2 linked regions of the Lepisosteus oculatus genome follow. Each later gene encodes a partner of the first gene's protein in a complex. Links are inferred from orthologs where the notes say so. Each region holds a gene or a part of one and is shown in the gene's direction. Other genes may lie near its edges.

The links.
Region 2: cacna1c (region 1) and cacng1b share a complex: the UniProt entries of both Homo sapiens proteins name them as parts of the calcium channel complex. The link is inferred for Lepisosteus oculatus from reciprocal best matches to the Homo sapiens genes CACNA1C and CACNG1.

Annotation. Positions count from the first base shown.
Region 1 is NC_090702.1:7,863,399-7,874,397, forward strand, and holds the start of cacna1c (voltage-dependent L-type calcium channel subunit alpha-1C), read left to right. Parts: upstream 1-6,764; 5' UTR 6,765-7,188; coding exon 7,189-7,318; intron 7,319-10,098; coding exon of another isoform or gene 10,099-10,226; intron 10,227-10,999. Other genes in the region: dcp1b (mRNA-decapping enzyme 1B), read right to left, coding at 794-1,540, 2,269-2,388, 4,190-4,319, 6,403-6,469, 10,099-10,226. UniProt on the Homo sapiens protein: Pore-forming, alpha-1C subunit of the voltage-gated calcium channel that gives rise to L-type calcium currents. Mediates influx of calcium ions into the cytoplasm, and thereby triggers calcium release from the sarcoplasm.
Region 2 is NC_090704.1:45,907,393-45,918,691, reverse strand, and holds the start of cacng1b (voltage-dependent calcium channel gamma-1 subunit), read left to right. Parts: upstream 1-5,906; 5' UTR 5,907-6,162; coding exon 6,163-6,403; intron 6,404-11,299. UniProt on the Homo sapiens protein: Regulatory subunit of the voltage-gated calcium channel that gives rise to L-type calcium currents in skeletal muscle. Regulates channel inactivation kinetics.

The DNA of each region.
Region 1 (10,999 bases):
TCGTGCTTCAGGCATTAACAAGTTACTTTGTTCTTCCTAAAAACAAGCGTTCAGATAGCTGTTTTATGATTTATCAGCCTTAACGATTTTCATTTCATAACTGACTTCAACATCAGTTTCGACAGATGAGAATCTTTAGTGGAAATGGTCGGGCTGCACAAACAGCAAAACGCATCTCATTGAAGGTTTACAGCCGAACTACCTAAACAGATTATTTTTCCACTAGAAAATGTATACCGATTTACTCTCTTTCATTAACGCTTTAAAGGAAGACAAACAATGGCCTTGGGTGACGCTACGTTATCATGAAACGAACCTTTTTTGAAAAAGGTGGGTAGCTGCGTCAGCATGCGTAGGCTGCAAAGGAACAGTAGCGGGAGAACAAAGGTTGGGAGGGAGGAGGAGTGAGAGGCGGGCCAATCAAGAGGTGTGAAGTCAGAATGGGTGCAGAGAGGTGTGAAATGAAACTTCCAATGAATGGAGAAAATTTAAAAGAACAGTAATCTGTCGTTAAGGGAAGGTCTTAACGACAGATTACTGTTCTTTTAAATTTCCAACCTCCCAACCTTTGTTCTCCCGCTACTTTACCTTTGCCTACTGCCCTGTCTCTCTCACACCTGAAGAAGGCTCCACGGCCGAAACGTTGTGTTCTCTTTCTTCTTTTTTTTCAGCATGGAATAAACCTATTACTTGTTCCTTTTTTGAAAAAGATTTATTCTGGTTACAAAGAATATGAAATCAGTTACGTGCTTCTCCAATACCTAGTGACTGTTCTTACTTATGGCACTGTTACCTGGAACAAAGGGTTGGGTTTCTCGGACACTGCAGAAGAGGTCTTGTCTGCCCAGCTGTCCAAGGGCCTGGAGGTCTGGTTGAGGGGCTCGTGGAAGCGGGCAGCCAACGCTGGCCTGGCAGCATCCATGCTCTGCTCCTGCTGGACCAGCTGCAATCTGTGCAGCAGCTCATGGGGGGAAACCACCCCCGAAACTGAGTGCTGGGGGGCGGCGGCCACCAGCGGTGGTTTGCTGGGGCTAAAATAAAGCGCCTGGGACTGGTGGGCACCACTGAAGCTCAGTGGCTCTGCACGGTCCGGCTTGACTACGGGGAGTCTGTGCAGCAGGTTGGGTGCGGTCTGGAGCTGAGGAGGTGGGTGAGCGCAGCAGGGAGCGGGAGGCTGGAACAATCTTTGCAGTGGGTCTCTGCTCGCACAGGGGGCCACTGCGGGGGGCTGCAGGCCCCCGTTTTCACACAGCCGGTTTTCGGGAGACTCTGAAACTGGCTGCAGCTCCACAGCCCCGCGGTGCGTCATCAGCTTCTGGATGGCAGGACAGTGCTGAGGGGGGCTGCCCACCGCTGTCTTGCCCATCACTTGCGCTGGCTCCTCATAGGAGAGGGATCGTGCCACGGCAGGGCGACCCCCAACTTTACAGCCAGCCGCCTGCGCCCTGTTGTCGCCTGCACCTGGGGAGACAGGCTCCTGTTTGTCTTGCACTCCAAAGAGGGCAGCGAGGGATAAATGCTTGGGCTCAGTCTCACCGTCCTTTAAGAGAAGATAAGACAAGACAAGCTATTTACCATCAACAAGGTGTAGCATGTTTTACCAACTGACATGGCTATTATGGTTATATTATGGAATTGACATGGCTATAGAACATGGCACTGATGGTTAGAAATCAAGAAAACAGTCCAGTATGGAGAATTGCCCCAGAAAATGTTTCTCAAAGAGTCTAAGATTTATGCTTCAATGCAAAAAGAACTATCATTCAACTGTGAAGACAAAGCACCACCTTTAAGGTACACAGTGGAAAGAGGAGATAACGTGCAGTGTTCCTTTTCCCTTCCAGTGCCTTAAAAAGGACTACATTTCAGTGTCTTCCTCATGAAAGTTAATATACTTTAATAAATTCTCCAATAATAGTGATGAAACAGATTATCTGGTAGCATTAAAGGACAGAACATTTTCCACAGATTTAAAGCGGATGACTGCAAACGAGAACAGATTACATTTTAAATCTAATTGAACACTTTCTAATTAAATAGAGAGTTACTGAAAAAAATCAATGCATATTTTTTTAACACATGAATGACAGGACAGGTAAATGAAAAGTGGACTATAATATTATACAAATTATAAAGTGGACTACAGTCTCAGAATGAAACACTGGTTGGATCCCCAGAAAATCCTAGAAAGTGCTAAAAATCTGCACCCATTTTGCATACACTAAAGATTAATGGCTCTTCTGCAAGTCCCAAGGCAGATACAAATACCTTGGGGAGCTGCTGAGAACTGTAGGCTCTTTCAATGGGCTTTACGGGGATCGGCTTGATCAGGTTGGGGTTGTCATAGATCACACTACTGCCAGCGATCTCCTTCGGCTCAGGCTTACTCTACGAAAGGCAGAGAATTTAATGAGGGCAAAGATCACAAGTCATTATCAGCTCCTGTTTTCACCGCTCAAGAAGATCAATCAAGTCTTGCATCTTGTTATGACGGCTCCATCCTGTGGCAATAAGCACTGTAACCGTCACAAAATTAAGAAATCTGCACTGATGGGACGGTGCGGTGGCTCTGTGGCTAAGGATCAGCGCCTGTGGCTGGAAGGTTGCCGGTTCATATCCTGCAGCTGGCAGAGGAATCCTACTCCGTTGGGCCCCTGATCAAGGCCCTTAACCCCAACTACTCCAGGGGCGTCGCATAAATCGCAAACCCTGTGCTCTGGCCCCAATCTTCTCTCCCTGTCTGTGTGTCTCATGGAGAGCAAGTTGGGGTATACGAAAAGACAAATTCCTAATACAAGAAATTATCTTATATAATGTCTTTTCAAAAGCAAATATTCCTGAAATGTCATTAAAAATAACACCAAGCATTAAGAGGAAAGAAGAACAAAGGAGAAGAGGACCTTCGCAAAAAAGAAAGAAGAGAACAAAGAAGATTACAAAATATGATGAAGCAGAAAATATCTTGTAAACTGCTGCTATGCCTTATTAATCCCAGACAGTTAATGCTCAATAAGGAAGCAGGTATCCTATCAGCATTTTCACAGGATAAGAACCTATGGCTTTGGCCAAGCTAAGAAAAGGTTCAGGAATGCATTTTCTTTTTTATTGGTTTGGCTCTTGCAATGTCAAGGTAGTGAGCCTCAGTCCCTTAACACTCACAGTGAAAATGTACATTACTAACGAACAAGAGGAGGACATCTGGCCCATCTAACCTATTTGGAGGTTAGTAGTTAACTGTCCAAGGATTTCATCCAGCCTAACTTCAGAAAAGTTAGGGTATCAGCTTCAACAACATGGCTAAGTAACTTGTTCCAGACTCCCACAACTCTTTGGGTACAGAAGTGTCTCCTGTTCTTGTTTTAAAATGCACTTCCATCTAGTTTACACTTAGAGTCCTCCACTTCATGTTTCACTGTTTAGTGAAGAAATCTGCTGTGTCGACTGTCAGTGCCATTTATTTTGAATATTTTTTTCTTTTGAAGCCTTTTAGTGTAGGATATTTCCTGAAGCCCCAGGATGTAGATTCTCTGGACTGATCCCACAGAAGCAATGTCTTTTCGATGACCCAAATTGTACACAACTGTATAAATGAGGCATTGCTAGTGCATCATACAATCTTCACATAACATCCCTTGCTTTAACTTCTATGCTTTATATATCCTATTATTTGTTAGTTTTTTAATTGCTTCTTCACATTGTCTAGAAGATGTAAATGAGTTGTTAACATAAACACTTGGGTCTTTTTCATAAGAATGAGACAAAAGACAACTTCACAAGTTTTTTTTTTACATGGTGCTTCTTCCTTGTTGTTCTCAACAACCTTTATAAAACTACATGGGGCTCCAATGAGAAGCTTATAACCTACTTTAATGGGAAGCAAATCTCTGCTATTTTTTGTAAATTGGTTCCTCAACACTAGCCCTACTCCAAACACTTCTTGACTTTTGGTACAAAAGTTAATTTTAATACTTTAAAATCTTTTTTTTTCATATGCCTTAGAATCCTCTCAGTACAATTACAGAGAAATGAAGTTATTTTTAGAATTTTATGTTTATGTTAAAAATAAAACAATACTAAATACTTACAGGAATGTAATTTACTCCTTATCAGCTGAGATACACTGTTCTTGGAGCTGAGGGTATCAGTTGACACTAGTGCCACCTAGTGGTATACTAGTAATTAAACCTACCTTGTCATACTCATCCCTGGCCTTGTTCAGCATCTGGAGGATGTCGACCCCTTTACTGTCCCCTGAGTGCAGAGCTTTGGGAGACACGCCTCCCCCATGCTGAGCTTTCAGTTGTTCTTGCTGCGTTAAACTGGAGGAGGAGGAAAGTCACCAGAGCATAATCCATCTAGTATAAACATACTGCACAGAGCTGCAAAGTCCTGAGGCTAAATGTACACTGTTGCTGCACATTTGTAAGAGTGCATTTTACAAAATCAAACTATACCGCCCTGCAGTGCAGAACGCACTTGATTGCCATATAATTATCATTTGCTTGAAACTGTCTCTATACCACAGAGCCAATTTCAGAAATAATACTCTCAATTTAGCCTCCTGAGCCACTGCCTCACACAGAACAAGAAGGAGAAGCACTTACAGTGTCTGAGGAAACACTAAAACATAATTGATTGTTAAACACTGTATAGGTAATTTTATCTAAAGGGTAGACATACACCTTATAAATGTGTACTATAATGATTAAATGAGACATGAAGATGAATAATAATATCAGTTCAGGTGGGTAGCTGCATCAGCATGCGTGCATAGGCTGCAAAGGAACAAGTAATAGGTTTATTCCATGCTGAAAAAAGAAGAAAGAAAACACAATGTTTCGGCTGTGGAGCCTTCTTCAGGTGTGAGAAAGATAGGGCAGTCAGCAAAGAACATATAGTGTTGGAAAACAAAACCCAGGAGAGAGGAGGAGGCGGGAGCAGGGGAGAGGCAAAGTGGCCAATCAAGTGGTGCGAGGTCGCGAGAGGGGAGGAGAGGTGTGAAATGAAACCTACACATGAATAGAGAGAATAAGAAGGAAACAAGTCTATCGTTGAGAGAAGGGGGAAGGTGTGAACCAAGTTTCAGGATAATTTTAGTTTCTGATTTCCTTCTGCTGTCGAGTTAACAAACCCTACTTTGAGAACGCAGACGGAGAGATCAGTGTGATCATGGCCGTCAGAGGTGAAATGAGAAATGATGGGCTTGGAGAGATCTTCAATCTTCACAGCCTGCCCAATTTTGGCAACCTACTGAATAGTAGGTGTGTTGTTGGGAGTTCAGTAATCTACCAAACTGATTTAATTGAGAACCCCAGTCTCCTTGTACTGGTGGAAGGCAAATTCAGTGGCCCAGATTTTTTCTGTGTCATGTTGTAGAGTATAAAGTTATCCCACAATGATGCAGCACATTATGATTTGCAGTTTGGGATAGTATTTTTTTTGTTCTGCTCTTGATTTTCCCTTGAGGTTAACAGGCTTTATTTTAAGATTTAATATTGCAAAAAATTGTAATGGCCTAATTTTTTTTAATGGTCCAGACAGTGACAAGTGCACATTTGAAAAGTGTATATAGATATACATTGTATTTCTTAAAAAATGATCCACTTATTTCAATCAAAGACATTTAAGTTCAAATTTACACATTCTCCGTGGCTTCTATTAATGTCCTATAATCTACAGAGGGGAATGCTTAAATGATCTGATTAAGACGACAGCAAAAGATAACAAATGCCCACAGGTGTTTCCTGGAAAAACTAAAAATAACACCTATATTTTAGGAGGCTGTAACTGATAAGATTAAGGTTATCTCATCTTTCACAGTGTAGCAACAAGACCAAACCAAAGACACTGTATTGTGTGGCTTTAAAGTACAGAGGATAGGGAAAGGAGAGCAAATAAACAATTGCAAAACCTTATTGTGCCTTGCAAGTATTTAGCTAGATCCCATGAGTGCTGAATCATCATTCTTCCATAACAGGTAGGCTCTAAATTAATATTCTGACACAAAAATGAACGTCAGGAATGTTCCCCCATGCTGAGACTTTGACAAGCATAACATTTTGTGCAAGGCATGTAAATGGATTTCTGATCCACTGTTGCCAAGGCATGTATAATACAGAACACCATCACCTCCTAACCACTGATCCAGATTTTGAGCGAGCATTTGAAAAGAAGAAAGATTAAGTGGGAGAGTGTGGAATGAGACACAGTAACAGGATGACATAATCTTTGGATGGATCACACCACAATACTTCTATAGCTGTGCATAAACAAGAAGTACTGTGACAGCAATTCAAATATTTATGGATATGGACTGGCTGAAAGATGACACAATACAATGTAGAGCTACAAACCGGTGTAATAACTAGATGCAGACAAACAATACATTTGAAATGAACGTACTTCTTCATTAGCTCAGCAATCCGCTGACAGTCCTCCTTGTCATAAAACCAGATCCCATAAATGGACACTGGAAACAAAAAATAACAGACAGATTCTGGTTATAACAGCTCAGGGGACAGGACAGATCTTGATGTTATTTTCAACAAATTCAATTTAATGGTAATATTAAAGACAGAGAAGAACAAAATGTACAGTATTTGGAAAATGTTCAGGTGACAGAGCTGCCCCAAGGGGCTTATCAGCTGGAACTCTTAGGCAGGGATGGAGAGGGCGGGGTCGTAGCCGGGGCTGGAATTTTGGAAAGCCATGCTGCTGAGAGGAAAGGCGAAGCTGATCGGGCTTGGGTCAAGAGCGTCGGTGACAAGCAGACAGTGAACATTTCCCCACACCTCCTCAGATAAATCTTGCAAACAGAAGTGAGAGAGACAGGGCAGCCAAAAAATGTGGAAGATAAAAGAGAAAAACAAAGCGGGCAAGTAGAGGGGCTGAGGCGGCAGATAACTTAAGAAATATCCTGACAAAGGCAGACCGATACTGCCAGCGGACCTCTGAAGAGGTACAGTGCCGTGTAACGTCGCCAGCTTCGTGAACCTCAGTTGTGTGGGATTCTGCTCCTGAACACCGGCTTGGTCACGCTTAAGGATTACATGAAATTGTTTCTCTGACTGAAACTGGCACGGAGTTTTTTATATGACACATGAATACAGAAAACCAGGTGAGAGGGCACAAAGGATTCTAAGGATTTTGATTTGTGTTCTTCATTATACACCACAGTGGTGATAGATCATGTTTCAGAAGGCATTCACCCTGCATAGAAAGCCCAGGCACCAGCGCTTGCCACCAGAGCCAGATGCCAAATACAAAGGAAAACTTGTGTCCGAGACGCAACTCAACTATACCTATGTCCGCCCTGGAGGTAAGATCATTGCTAATTACAGACTATTCTTGAAACTATATTCTCTAATGTTCTAGAATGTGATTTGTGGCTTTTTTACTCCTTTTACAAAGTACAATTACATTTTGCACAACACAGTATTTGAGAACAGATTAGATGTTTTATTCTAACTTACAATAAGTTATTCTATGAAGAATGTCTTTTTATCACTTTTCAAAGGGATTGTTAAGTCTTTCTATTAAGTCTTATGTCACTGAAATCAGCATGAAATTATGTTTAGCGGTTCAATTACAAAGACACTCTGCCACAAAAATATTCCTTTGCTAGGCCACTCTAGGTTACCGAGTATAAAACCATCTGATTACAAAGGTCTAAAAAAAGGCTTTTTTAAAAAACCCTTACAGGTGTTGCCTCTGAAGTTCTGAATGAATGGTTATTTTAGGGATGTCAGAATCTCAGTTAAAATATCCCAGTTAATTAAGAAAGACAATCTCAAAACATGAAGAAAACGTAAAGGGTAGCTTGTCATTCAGTATGACTCGTGATTTCGAGGTGAAAAAAAGCAAATCGCTGGCAAGTGCCCCAGTAGAAATTACTTGCACTTTCTACCATATTTAGACTCTGTGATAAAACTGAAAATGCCTCTATGTGTCAACTTAAACAGCCCCAGCCCTCTAAATAGGAGCAAATAAAATACAGTTACTTGAATTATGAGATCTATCAATTAATAATGAGGCTGCCACTTACTGCAATACACCACAGCCATTTAAGTTCATCATAGTGAATCAAGACTTACAGTGGGCACTGCATGTGAAGGGGCTTCATGTGTATTTGAGAACTGTCTTTATCTTATCTCGGTTGGCTTGGTTTCTGGTGTTGGCAGGACACTCAAGAGAGAAGCCCAGACACGCAAGCTCACTGCCCACCAAAATACCTTTGCACCATAAAAGGAGACGAAAGTCCTTTATGAGCAAACTGGTCTCAAGCTACTATGATTATCACCAATCTCCCTATTTTTATATGTATTTGAGTGCTTTATGCTTTGAAAAGAAAATGAGACTTAAACGTTTTGCTCAATTCCTCTTGAAAACTTACAAAAGGGAAACATTCCTATTTTTTAAAATTTATCACCATCTCCTTCTGACATATTCTTCATTCATTATCGTCCTCCTTATTAAGCCACAAACCAATTCTTCCAACCAGTTTTATGATCTGTAAAATCATGTTATGTGCCTTTAGCCATTAGCTGTTTTTCAGAGACGTTTCAAAATTCCTTGTAACATTTTATGGATATTCTACTTGGTTTTGCATGGGTATAGTGGGTACTGGGTACAGTGCTGGTCATTTCCAGTTTTCTTGTGCTTTTCCGTTTCAGATCGGGGCGTGGTTCCTTCTGACTCATCTTTAATTTTGTACATCCTTCTACTTAATTTCCGCACTTAAGAGAATAGTCTTCAGTCTTGTCTGCTGTGAAAGCAGGTGTTGATTATAAAGGGCTGCAATCATCACCATGCAGAACACCTCTGTAACCGTTCATCCGGCTCCTTTTCACCTCACAGGTTACACTCCTGGTGTGCTGCAGCTACATAAATGGCTTTGGTGGTGGATAAGGGAGATAAAATGCCATGTCAAATCGCTGGTGTTCTCAGCAGGGACACTAAAACCCCATAAAAAAAGTTTAAAATAACCTGCTTGTCACAGACTTTTCCCATATTAAATATATAACCTTGACGGTATTTACAGCATTTCTGAAATGTGATTTGACAGCCGGTGGACCCCGTCAGTAATTTTATCAACCTGCTACAGAAACACATCTTGCAGCACTAGAAAATTTGTATCTGGGTGCATATTTCTATCCTTCCATGGTAACAGTTTTGAGCAGATTTCAACATGTATTCAAAGTGTATTACTATAAAGGAACAAGTAATAGGTTTATTCCATGCTGAAGAAAAGAAGAAAGAAAACACAACGTTTCGGCCGTGGAGCCTTCTTCAGGTGTGAGAAAGACAAGGCAGTAGGCAACGGTAATGTAGCAGGAGAACAAAGGCTGGGAGAGAGGAGGAGCGAGAGGTGGGAGCAGGGGACAGAAAGAGAGGCCAATTAAGAGGTGTGAAGTCAGAATAGGTGTAGAGAGGTGTGAAATGAAACCTCTAATGAATGAAGAAAATTTAGAAGAAAAGTAGTATGTCGTTAAGAGAAGGGGGAAGGTCTGACCCTAGCTGCAGGATAATTTTGGTTTCGGTAGTCTTTCTGATGTATGAGTTTGGAAAACCATCTTTGAGAACACAGACGGAGAGATTAGAGTGGTCGTGGCCGTCAGAGGTGAAATAAGAAACAACAGACTTGGAGAGATCTTTAATCTTCACAGCCCTGATGTGTTCTCTGAAGACGGCCCCGACGGCCATGACCATTGCAAACAATGTTGTGTTTGCTTTCTTCTTTTTTTCAGCATGGAATAAACCTATTACTTGTTCCTTTGCAGCCTATGCATGCTGACGCAGCTACCCACACGTATTACTATATGTCGTTTAATTATTATATTGCTATTAATTTCTCCAAATTTAATTTAGGAATATGGTGCCTGATAATGTCTATATTCCTCACTAAAGAGTTCATGCACCAGTCTATGCATATGGACTGTGTGTGGAGTAAATAGAAAGACCATGTTTTTCTTCAGAGTGCCCCAGCCATTTTTGAGGATTTTTTTTTGGATGGACTTACAAGCTTCTTGACCTTTTTTGCTAGCAAAAAAAATGAATAATTGTTTCCAGCAGTGTTAATACATTTTATCACATACTTACAACGGGCATTCCTGTAGAGCAGGAAAGGGTCCTGCAGCTGAAAGTCCAGATCCTTGGTTATTGGCTCAGTGAGGTTGTCCATACTCAGGCGATTCATTATGGTGAAGCCATGCCTGGGGGAGGCAGACCTAAGACCAGAATAAAACAGGAAAAATCAGGGCAAAATTTCATTGTGTTGTTTGGAGCTCTAAGCATAAGGCAATGGATCAAGTTAAAAAGTCCTTGCAGAAATTCTTTAAAGACAAACATGGATTTAAAAATCAAAATTTTGTACAGCACTGGGTTTAACATGCACATGAGATCTTCACTTTTTAAGGTGATCTATCCTGCATCCAAGAAATGAAGAAAAACAGACTGGTGTAGAGTGTTTGTGAAAGCCAAAACATAAACAGTAGGAGAGTAACCCCGGCAGTGTCCTGGCCAGATTTCCCCTTGGCCTTTACCAATCATGGCCTCCTAATAATGCCCTTCTATGAATTGACTTCATTACTCTGCTCTCCTCCCCACTGATAGCTGATGTGTGGTGAGCGTTCTGGCGCACTATGGCCGCCGTCGCATCAGGCGAAAGAGTGACGCTTTCTGCCCCACCAACACAACCTACTACAGCAACCTGCTTTTCCTAGTGGATTACAGTCCTAGTTGGTACTAATCACTACCTACATTCCTTGATTTGATTGATCTAACAAGAGACTCTAAATTGTATTTCTAAACTTCTTTTTGTTTTGTTTCATCTGTATCTTAGGATCCATTAGAATGAAACTGTGTCGCTCCAAACAGACTTCACATTGTCATTTGTTCTAGTGTTCCCCCTACGCTGCATACAGTAGGTTGTGTTTTGGTCACAAAATTACACATTTCATTATATTTTGGCATTTGGTGGAAATTGTTTCCTGTTTTTTCC
Region 2 (11,299 bases), on another chromosome or scaffold:
TATGAATAAAAAGAATCAAATATGCAACTTTTGTATGTACTGCATGTAGCCATCTACCGTACAGAAATAGGAAGTCTTTTAAAATTAAGCATTTACTAGGAATTAGGCAATTGTGAATATTATGCAGCTCTGGCTGTATCACAGTGCTACGAAAGCAGAACTACGTAACAAGACTTCTAATTCTGCCTCATGCATATAAGGTCAAAGTTAGCAGCGGTTTGCCTTTTATGTGGCTCTTCCTCACAGTGCTACGAAAGCAGAACTATGAGACAATTCTGCCTCATGCATATAAGGTCAAAGTTAGCAGCAGTTTGCCTTTTATATGGCTCTTCAGCATGGTATATTGTACTTAACCACTGACACAGATGCATATATGGAGGAATGATTTTTCAGGCCCATACCGTCTTTAATGGCAAAGCTCTGAACCATGGGAATGGACATCAATCAGCGCTTGCCATTTTGCAACTCTGACTCTGAGTGCCTAACCAATCTGTCTGTCAGCCGAGTAGACTACATGTCTATGGGCAGTTCCACACATGAAAAGATGGAAGGTGGCACGGAGGTGCAGTGGTCAGCACCGCTGCCTCACAGTGCGAGGGTCCTGGATTCAATTGCGGACCTGCGGTGCTATCTGCGTGGAGTTTACAAGTTCTCCCTGTGTCCGTGTGGATTGCTTGCTCCAGTTTCCATCTACAGTCCAACTACTGTGGTAAGTTAGTAGCCCTGGTGTGGGTGTGTGTCCTGCAATGGACTAGGTGTCTCCTCCAGAGTGCCCTTTGCTTATTGGGATAGGCTCTGACTCCCCCACAGCTCTGAACTGGAATCAGCAGTAAGAAAAAAGGATGGATGGATGAATGGAAAAGGTGGAAAGTGAGCTCCTCAAGGAGAGCTTGTGGGACACGGTCTGTGTGCCTTCAGCAGTACAGCGTCCCAGGGTGCTCCGTGATGGGTGTCCACTGGAGAGGACAGCCGCTCTGTCCCTCACTCACAAGCGCCAGAGCACCAAACCTGAAATCTCCTGACCTTTAAATCCACATTAGCAGACTAAAAACGAGAACAATACAACAACACCATGTGTGCTTAGGCAAACTAGAGTCCAGATCTCGACTGCGGACAGCCGTGTTCACCTCTAGTCCCAGGGATCTTCCTTCAGCATTAGAATCCAGGTGTTGCAGGCAAGATTATCTGCATTAACAATTGTACAATGAAACCAAATCATTTACTGTGCCATCTTAAAGTTTTGTTAATGGTGCTGTAATTGTTCTTACTGGTAGCTAAATACATACAATCGCACCTTCAGAAGGTCAGTCAAGTATTTCAGAGACACATGAAAGATTACAGAAACGGGAAAATGGCTGCAGTCATATACTGTACACACCTATATTTAGAACAGCCCATTCCTCCTGCAGCCTCCATCGAAGGCATATCAGGACTGCTTTAACCTACTTGATATGAGACGGCTAAATTTTGCTCGACCTTGTTACAGATGGCCCTAGGGCTTTTGCAGTCTACTTTTGCTGGAGTTAAGTTGTGTGTCTCAAGGAAATAAGGTGCATGGTGTAGATTCCCTCTTCAGACTTTCAGCCTTTGCATAGATCTGTTTATATCCACACTTACAGAGTAAAAGCATTTTGCTCAAGTCATGATGAAGAGAACTGGGAAAGATAAACTAACATCATTGCAGTGAGGGAGGGACAGTAATAGATTTTTAAAACAATCTACAATGCCATCAGACCAAAAGCAGCAAAGTTAGCTTATATACAGCATGACATTTTGAAGGGCATCAGAGAAGAGATAACTGTGATTGTGAATGGATGGGTAGATAACCTTTCACACTCCACCTCAACAAATGTGCTCACTGGATTCTGGTCAGCTTTGTATCCCTGTGGTGTGCTGCCATACCTTGGGCAATAGTGCTTTCTATTGAGACTCTCAGTGTCAGCCTGTGGTCTGACTGCAGGTTGGAATTCTAGGAATTCTCATTCCTGGGTCCTTATTTCAGGCAGATGGCCAAGGAATAAGAGGCTGTCTACCCAGAGACATGAGCAGTAAATCTGCTGACTGCAGAAGACCCTTCAGCTACCCAAAAGAGAGAGGGGGGGTGAAATTGTCTATAGGAAAGCTGAAAGAAGGAGGTGGAGAGACGGAGGAAAAGCTCTTCTCCTGAGCTTGCAGAAGGCCCCGGGGGTTGCCTGTATATTCCAGGGTGCCCACATATAGACACAATCACAGGTCAGCACGGAGAGAACATGCACAGTATGGAATCAAGTTGAGGACTCAAGAACTACCAGGCAGCAGTAATTAACAATATACCACTGTGCCACCATAATGTGAAGACAGACAGGTAGTTCTTTGTTTATGTTCCCTTAATTTGCTTGTTTCCAATTTAGTGCTCCTTATAATATATTTCCTCATTTAGAACAGAATAACTCTTACTTTAACATGCTTGGCCACAAAGTCTTAGAGAGTGTATTCTGCGTGTACCCAGTATCGGCCTGTATGCGAAGGAACACATTTTCCCTAACTCACTCTTGCTGTTAGCGTTAAGTTGTGTTAAGGCGCTGTCAGAATCGTCATCCCTCCTCTTAAGGGCGCTCCGACCCTTTCGTATTTTAGTTCATTTCGTGCACCTGCCCCCTGTTTAGCCTGACACTATTTAAGCCTGGCGGTCTCACTAGTCCTGGCTCAGCACTGAGGGATGGATGCCCAGAAGCCCGCCTACCAGCAGCATCCTGACCATCTGAGTCCAGGGCTCAGAGCGCCTGGCCTCGTCACCCTGGTTTTATTCCCTGTTCCTGTTCCGGATCCCATTCCGGATTTTAACCTTGTTTGTCTCGGATGGATCTCCCAGTTCCTGGACTGTGCCCCAGATTCCCCCTTGGACTGTCTGGACTCGTTTGCCCATGCCACGCCCCCCGAGCGCCGGATCACTGTCGTCACGCTCTCCTGTCTGCCAACCCGTCCTAGCCTGCTGTACCTTCCCTGTTGTCCTTCTCCACTTACTTCCGGATTATACCGTCTGCACAGGGTCCTGAACTACGCCTCGCAGGGACGAGGGTTTAGCAAGCGTGCTATAGAAATGCTTGGTAAGGCGAATAACATTTTGATCAGAGCTCGTCCAATAATGTGGAAAAGCTGGCACTTATTTATGACGTTGAATAAATCAAATAAGCTTCCACCCCATTCACTACCCTCCCCTAACAACAGTCTTCACTTCATGTTTCATATGAAATTGATCGACATTAACGAACATTTCTTCCAAATGACTTTTAGTGCAACTCTATAAGCATCTTATATTGAAACATTTGCTTATTTTAGTTATTAAGGGGTTAAAATCTTTGGGTGAGGGTGAACCCCAGAATGCTTCCTCCCTATATACATTCATATTTATGTGAAACTGCTGTGGAATTCATTTTTAATTTACCCATTTCTGAACTGTGCGGCATTTTTCAGGAACGCATTCATTCACATGAATCAAGAACTACCCCTACTGCATTTTAACAGAGATTAAATGGTTCAAGTTGTCATTTGGATTTTTTTTATATTGCATCTCATAAATACAAAATATATATCCCACCAGCATTCCCCAGCTTCTGAATCCAATCTAACTGGGTTTTACCACTGTAATGCATTATGCATTGGGAACCCAGGCTCCAACCACAGTGTGATTACTGTACATAAGTGCTCTGTCTTGTGCACACCTGAGTCGCATATCATTTCAGATTTCATTACTAATCTCAAACAGAAACCTGTAAGTGCAGAAACACTTTGGCATCCCATGTTAAAATCCAAAAGCTCTATTTAAATTGTCACAGGAGTAATTGGGTCAGAAGACTAAGAAAGTAGAGCACAGCTGACAATTTATAAAAAGCACTTCACTACGGAGTGCCCTATGGAGAATATGCTGCAGACCGCGGAAGGCGTGAAGGGCCGCTTGACATTGAGCGAACAGGAAATGTGGAGGACGAAGGACACTGAAAGCAGGTTCGGTTCAGCTCCAGTTGTCCCTCGGAGCAAGAAGACCCTCTGTCTTCTCAGACCCACTCGTCTCTCAACGGCCATGAGTCAAGCCCTGGGGTCCAGAAAGTCAGGGCTCCAAACCCGAGGTGGCCCCCTGACCTCTCCTCACTCTGCAGGGGTCCCTGCGATGTGCTGGGTTAAGCAAGCCTGGGACAGGGTGCAGTCCTTCTTCACACTGGGCCAGGGGGAGCTGTAGGACAGTTTCCACGCACTCGCCACCACATTCCACCACGCTCTCTTCACTGCAATTAACCTGCTATCCCACCACGTCTCCCCTTCTGTTCTTCTTAAACCTTTCTACCTGCCCTCTCCATGCTCACCATTGAGTTCAACCCACCTGAGTTTAACCTTTTGCCGCCTGTTTGTCGCACTACTTTTTGGATAACGGACACTGCCTTCACCACCGACTACGGACCTGCCTCACCGACCGGATTCGGTGTTCGGACTCTGCTCTCTGGATAGCGGATCTCCGCCCTCCTTCCTGACCACAGCACTGCTTTCCGATTTGGACTTCGGTAATGGAACACGCACTCTCTCTCACTCCTGCCTCGCGCAGGGTCCGAATCAGCCCCACTGGTATTTGACACAGGTTCCATTCACCAACAATGGAGATGTCTCTTTAAGGGCTGTCATCTTGGTAGGGGAACCTCCCAGACCCCCAGCACCTCATAGCAGTCCTCTACGATTACAATGTCCACAGTTGTATGCTACTACACAGCAATTCCTAGGGTTTACGGAAAAGTGCTGGAGAGACAACTACTAGGATCAGAGGTTAGGGGCACCGGGATGATTTTGAATTTAACACATTCTAGAAGCCAACTTTCTTTTTTACTTACAATAGCAGTTACACAGACAGTCCTTTATCTAACATACTCACCGTGCGTACCAAAGTGTCTTAAACAGAGGCTCAGACTTTCCTGTTTCCCATTTATTTCTACAGCATGAATAGAAACAGCTCTACGTGATGCTATGCCAGAAACTATTTTATCACTGGTGTGACAAGGGTCACATCTTCCCCTTTCACTCCAATAACAACAAGGATGATATAAGGCCCATAGTTTCCCATCTGTTTATCCGTCAAACGTTAAGTGCCTGTAGATCGGAGATCTGAAATGTTCTGTTTAATGAGAAGCTAATTTATGGTAACAAATACACCTCCTGCATCTCTGAGAGCAATGACAGCACGTTTGCATGTCTGCGAAAACCAACAGCTGTTGTTTAGACACAGATTTCTCTGTATAAATAGTTTATAGTAGCATTTAAACTAAGTGCCTGGTGGGAATAAAGTTTAGATTAGGAATGTTAAGAATACTATGATGATGCAATTGAATAAAAGTTCAGTAAATGGGGACAAATCAAGACTGTGAACACAGACTGCACTCTTCAGAACAAAACAGAGCTTTTCACACATTCAGGTTATCCAAGCTATCCTCATAAAGCTCATCAGAAAATAAAATTCGAATGCAACTAAGAAATGCATTAAAAAACTATTATTCCCTTTGTTCCAAAAATTAAGGAGAGAGATATTGCAAAGTGATTTCAAGGAAGGAGAAAAGAAATTCAGACTCAGTCGTTTTCACTTTGCACTAACACAACAACACCAGGAAAATCGAGGCTTTATATTAACTGTAGAAAACTCAGCAACACACAGCAGAAACCTCAAAAACTATGCCCACACTCTTCTCGGTGATTAATGAAGTACTTGTAGTTTAGCAGACGGCCACAGCCCTGTGCTTAACGGGCATGCTGAGAAAACATAGAGACGAAACCTGATAAGTGGACATCCTGACAACCTGACTCACAGCTCACATTAATAGCAGCAGCTACCCGCCCATCACAGGCAGCCAGTGTGGTCATCAACTTTTCTGATATGCATCAACAGCTGTAGTCTGAACCACACTCCTCCTCACTCCATGAGGAGAGAGAGAGGAAAAGAAAACTAGGGCACTGTTTTCTGGCCACTTTTTTTTTTCCTCCCAACGAGCGACAGGGATTTGGAGTGGGCTGAAGCTGCGAGCAGAGGGGACGTGGGAGTGGAGGCTTAAGGAGAGGTCTGCAGAGTCCACAGGCAGAGCGGCGGAGGTGAGGCTGTGAGGCAAGAAAAAAAAACCCCCGCTCCAGTGAGAACCGACAAGCAGAGCCATGCTGGAGGACAAGACCACCAAGGTGAGGATAGCGTTCTTCGTCATCCTTGTCGGGATCTCCGCCATGTTCGCCGCCGTGACGACGGATCACTGGGCGGTTCTGAGCCCGCGGGTCGAGCGCCTCAACACGACGTGCGAAGCGGCTCACTTCGGACTCTGGAGGCTCTGTAAAAAGACCATCTACATGGAGGAGCCGGACCCTAGGGGCAAGGGCTGCGGGCCCATCAGTCTGCCTGGAGGTAAGACCCTTCCGTCTCTGAGCGCTCTGGGCCCCAGGCCCACCAGGGGTAACACCGAGGTGCGGGGCCGTGTGAAAGGACAGAGAGAGCGAGGGGCTCTAACCCAGCAGGGCTGCAGGGCTGCTCCAGGAGGAAGGCGCTGTTACAGCGTTAGTTTGGCAGGGTTGACAGATAAACATCTGGGCACCGCGCCTCTCCCTGTGGGTGTGCTCCTCGCGCCCCGGTCAGAGCCAGCTCGGGCGCTCAGGACCTGGAAACCTCGCTCACGCAGACAAGCGGGATCACTCACTACACCCGGAGTTCGAATTCAAATTCAAATTCCTCCAAGACCAGCTGCAGTACGTACAGTCACATACACTTTATACATAGAAGAGTTGTGGGTATTGTATATGTACATCTATCCATTAGCTTGTCTGTAGCCCAAAATGGGAAAACACTACGTTATTGAGAATACCGATCGGACGCACAGAATATTCAGATAATCACGGCAATGGCGAAAAACAGTCTTTAAAAATCAGCACTATTAATCCTTTTTAACAAAAAAAATGCTCCACGCACATTTTAATGAAACTAGTGTTCATGATTTAGACAAAACCAACATCCGTACAAACATGATTTATGCAACTTCAGCCTAACAAAAGAGCAGAGGTCTTCCCTGTTCTTCACACGTGTTGTGCTGTAACATCCCAAGAAAAGTCCTGCGATGACAACTCTGTGCCACCAGTCACAGACAAGCCAGCCCACTGGTCTGCTTGTTAGAAACTGAAACAGGCTCTTCTGCTGAAACAGCGTCTTTTTAACACAGACGGTAAGACAACTCACCACTGAGAGATTTCTGATAGAGAAGGAACCTTAATACCAGAAGAGCAGAGATTCATTTGATGCAAATCATAAAGCAACACACAACCCCAGCTCCTTTTCATCATGAACTACAAGAGTAGACATAGAAATGTTTTGCCTGAAAGATTTATTTGCAAAAGAAAAAAGAAAATGAGGCTCTTCATTGTCACAAGGGCCCCTTTAAATGCACAATTTATGTGCAGTGAACTGAAGCAAGTAATTGTCTGTGTCGGTATGTGTGTTATATGTTTGCAAAACAAGATGGCATGGTACCATGGAAGACAGAGCTCTTAAAAAGGAGCCTGTTTGTATATTTGGCTGACCTGGCTTCCAATATCTGGGTGAGATAGGAGCTGGGAGAGGTCTCTGTTTGCCTAAAAACACTATTTACAGTCACAGAGCAATAGGTCTCACTTTGCACACTTTTGTAGTAGTGCATCAAAAAAAGAATTATTGCATGAGCAATGGTAAATGTGCACCATTAACCCATCCGATTTGATTGGCAAACAATTGTCTAATAGCTTTTAAGAAAGAAAGAATGGCATTTGCTTTTCTCTCTTCTTCCCTAAGACTTAAGTCTATGGCGTTAAATGCCCCCTGGTTGAAAAAGACATGTCTTCATAAAGCAGGGTCTGTTAAAAAAGAGAAATGTGGCCTCAGTTTTTTTTTTTCATGAAGTGAAGCATTTAACCGCAGCACATATTTGGGAAAAGCTCTCTTCTGCCTCCAGCACTTACAGCACCTAGAGAAAAGCCCCCAAACCCAAGGTGGAAAGAAGAGGATCATAAGTGAATATTCAGTGAACTGTGAATATTGTGTCATTCAAAAAATGTTTAAAGATCAACCCTATGTTTCACTGTGTCTCACCTGGGCTGTTTCAAGTAAAGTTGCATTTTTTTTCTTTGAATTACTCGCATCCAGTACCTCAGCTACAACTCCACTGCAATTGCTTCCCGTTTCCCTGCTTGATAGGGCTGAGGGCTCTTCCTACAGCCGCCGCAGTGTGCCGAATCTGCAGCCGGCCAGCCCTCCCTCAGCGCAGAGCTCCCTCGCTGTGCGTTGAAAAAATGAAGTTAAAGGACATTACACGCACGAGTCTTGTGAGAGATCTGCACACAGAATCCCCTCACAAGTGGAACAGCCAAGGGCTGTGCAGAACAGCTCTGAACTCGTCGCCGCAGAGACAGAAAACCACAGACCCTCATGCTTCTGAGCGTTTCAAAGGCATCCTGCAGGTTCACAATGTGATTTTTCACAGCTTTCTAGCAAAACGGAGACTTCTGCCGTTACATGTTGTTACTAGTCCAATCCTTATCAAGCTATCCCAGTTTTGTGACCTGCTTTGCAACACATAAAAAACATAACGAAAGTCATTCAGCCCTTTTAGTTTGTTTTGGAGTGAGGACAACCTCTCTTTCTAGTGCCCTGCTTTGCCTGCTCCTTCGGTTTTTAATTTGCTTTCCGCAGTCTCCCTTCCTTTCATCGTACTCTGCCACTGGATTGTCTTTGGAGGGTTGAGAGTCTTCACTTTTCCGTTAGCGGCCTGGGGCAGCGCAGTGTGTCGGCTTGCTTAAGCTCGTTCAATGAAACAGACGCAGGGAGAAGCAGCGAGTAGAGACCGAAGAAAATGACAGTGGAACTGATTCAAAAAACCGCCCAATTTAATAAGACAGTGTTAATAAGACAAGGCAGGTGAAAAAGAACAGTTGGGGAAACAGAGAAGCTCTGCATGCTTTGTGCAAAATGTGTGCAATAGGGGTTCCTGTTTTGGAGGTTTCATTTGATGAAAACTATATATAGGCAGCAGTGTAGAATAATGGCTAGGACTCTAGACCCAGATCCAGAAAAGCTATGGGTTCAACATGTGGCGCTGTCACCCCTGAGTGAGGCACATCACTCAGATTGCTTCAGTAAAATGCGCAGCTGTATGAACGGACACAAATGTGAGTTGCTTCGGATATAATCTGGCATGAACAGCTACTGTGCATTAGTGCGTGTTCATGTATGAGCTCCCCGGGGAGCAGAACATTTCTAATCACCCAGAGATCTGGACGGGGCCAGCTGGTATGAGACCACCTTGCGTGCATGAGGCTACAGTGGGCAGGGCTGCCAGGACAGAAATAACCCAGTGCTCTCCAGCGCAGGCTGAAGTTTACTGAGGCACCTTCGCTTTATTAAAAAATAAGCAGAGGTTTTCTTGGGTGCTGTACAACAGTATTGCTTTGCTGTTGTTTTTTACCTGGTATCATAAAGACAGGACGGTTTCGAAATGTCAAAGTCCGCCTGATACAGCGCATGCAGATATCATCAGGGCACTACAGCAGTATCATGGTAGTTTTGGAGCCTAAGAGGGGTCAGGCTGTACTATTTTAGAGCTCTGCTTTTTTTAAAAATAAATCCAGTACGGGTCTATGGGCTCAATACTGACTACAAGATATAACAGCAATTTCTCCAGATGTAGCTTTTAAGGTGAAGAAATTCTGGGCATTTCACTAAAAGAACAATTTGTCAGTTCTGCGTCTGTGTAGGAACAGATGAACTTGAGAAAGGTTATCAATGAGGGGTGGACATGTGGCCAGTCTGGCATGTTTAGATGGTAATAGCTAAATGACCCAAGGATCTCATACAACTGTTTTTCAGCCTTCAATTTTGCATAAGAAACGAAGCTGAACACAAACAGACTATAAACTAGAGGTTACGGGTTTCCAGGTGAAGTGCTGAGAGAGAGGTGTGTTTGTCTCTCTTTCCGCTGGGAACGGGTTGCCTTTGGCTTGCTTGACTTCGTCCGAGCACTCCTGAGATCCCCTGTCTGCTGAAAGCGAGCATGAAGGACTACTCATTAGTAGCCAGACAGACACAGAGAAAATCTTAATTACATAAACAGTATATATGATTGCAACAACCACATTAATGTACTGTATCTGCAGAAAGGGACTTTGGTTCTTCCTCCAGCATGTGGTTGGATAATTTTAGGCTTCAGTCAATGGCCAGCTGTCCCAATAAAAAGAAGCTGCAGAGCCAAGTTTTTCCCTGAAGTTCCAAACACCAGTGAGTGACAGAGCCATGTGTGCTGGGCTCACATAGCACACATACTTCATGCAGAGCAAGGAGCCCAGCAGGGACTGCTCCCTGTCCGAGGCCCATCCAGCTCACAAACCATTAGAGAAACTAACGTTGAATCCTGTGGAGTCATTTTTTGGTGAAAGACAGTCCAGCCTGGTTCCCAGTATATCAAAAGACACACAGCAAGCACAGTGGGTAAGGACAGAAGGTGCCATCTGTTCTCCTTGTGATTAGAAAAAGAACACCCTCAAGCTCTGTCTACACCTGTTTGCCGGAGTCAAGCTGAAAGCCTTTTAGCTTTGCAGATAGTGCCAACAGGTTAAGACGTTATCATTAAACACATGGCTCCCCTGTGACAATGTTCTGCAACTTGTTTCAGAACCCTGCGCCCTCAATCCCAGCCTGGGCTGTCGCCGAGCTTGCGATTTCATTTGCATTTGACAAAACGGCACCCCAGAAGTGTGACAATTTAAAATACACACCTTTTAATTAAAAGGCATTTAACCAAGCTACTTTTTTCACCTCAACACCAACAAACTTATGAAGACACCTCGGAGTCATCTGCTTGGATAGTTCATGGGATGCTTGTTTCCTGCAGAATGCAAAAGAGATTAAAAATGTGTCTCTTGTTGACAAAAAAGAGTTTACATGGGGTCGGAAAACAGGGGTCAGGAGAAAGCCAGGCTGGGAGAGAAGCACAGAAATGGTATAATACAACAGCTTTTGTCATGTCAACAGCTACAGGATGATGCATGTCCCTTATAAGCCCAGAAGAGCCCTTTATTCTTAGAAGCAATGCCTGTCACACAGTCCCCACGTGGCTGCCTTCTGAGACTCGCTTGGTATTAGCAGAACGTGTTCCAGCTGGATGCCCAGAGAAAACCCCTCAGAATACTCCCCTCTGCACCCATTTTCCACTTCTGACTTGAAATCATTTTGCATTTGCTATGGAAATCAAAACCGAAAGCTCAGAAATAGCTGTTCCTGGGCTAA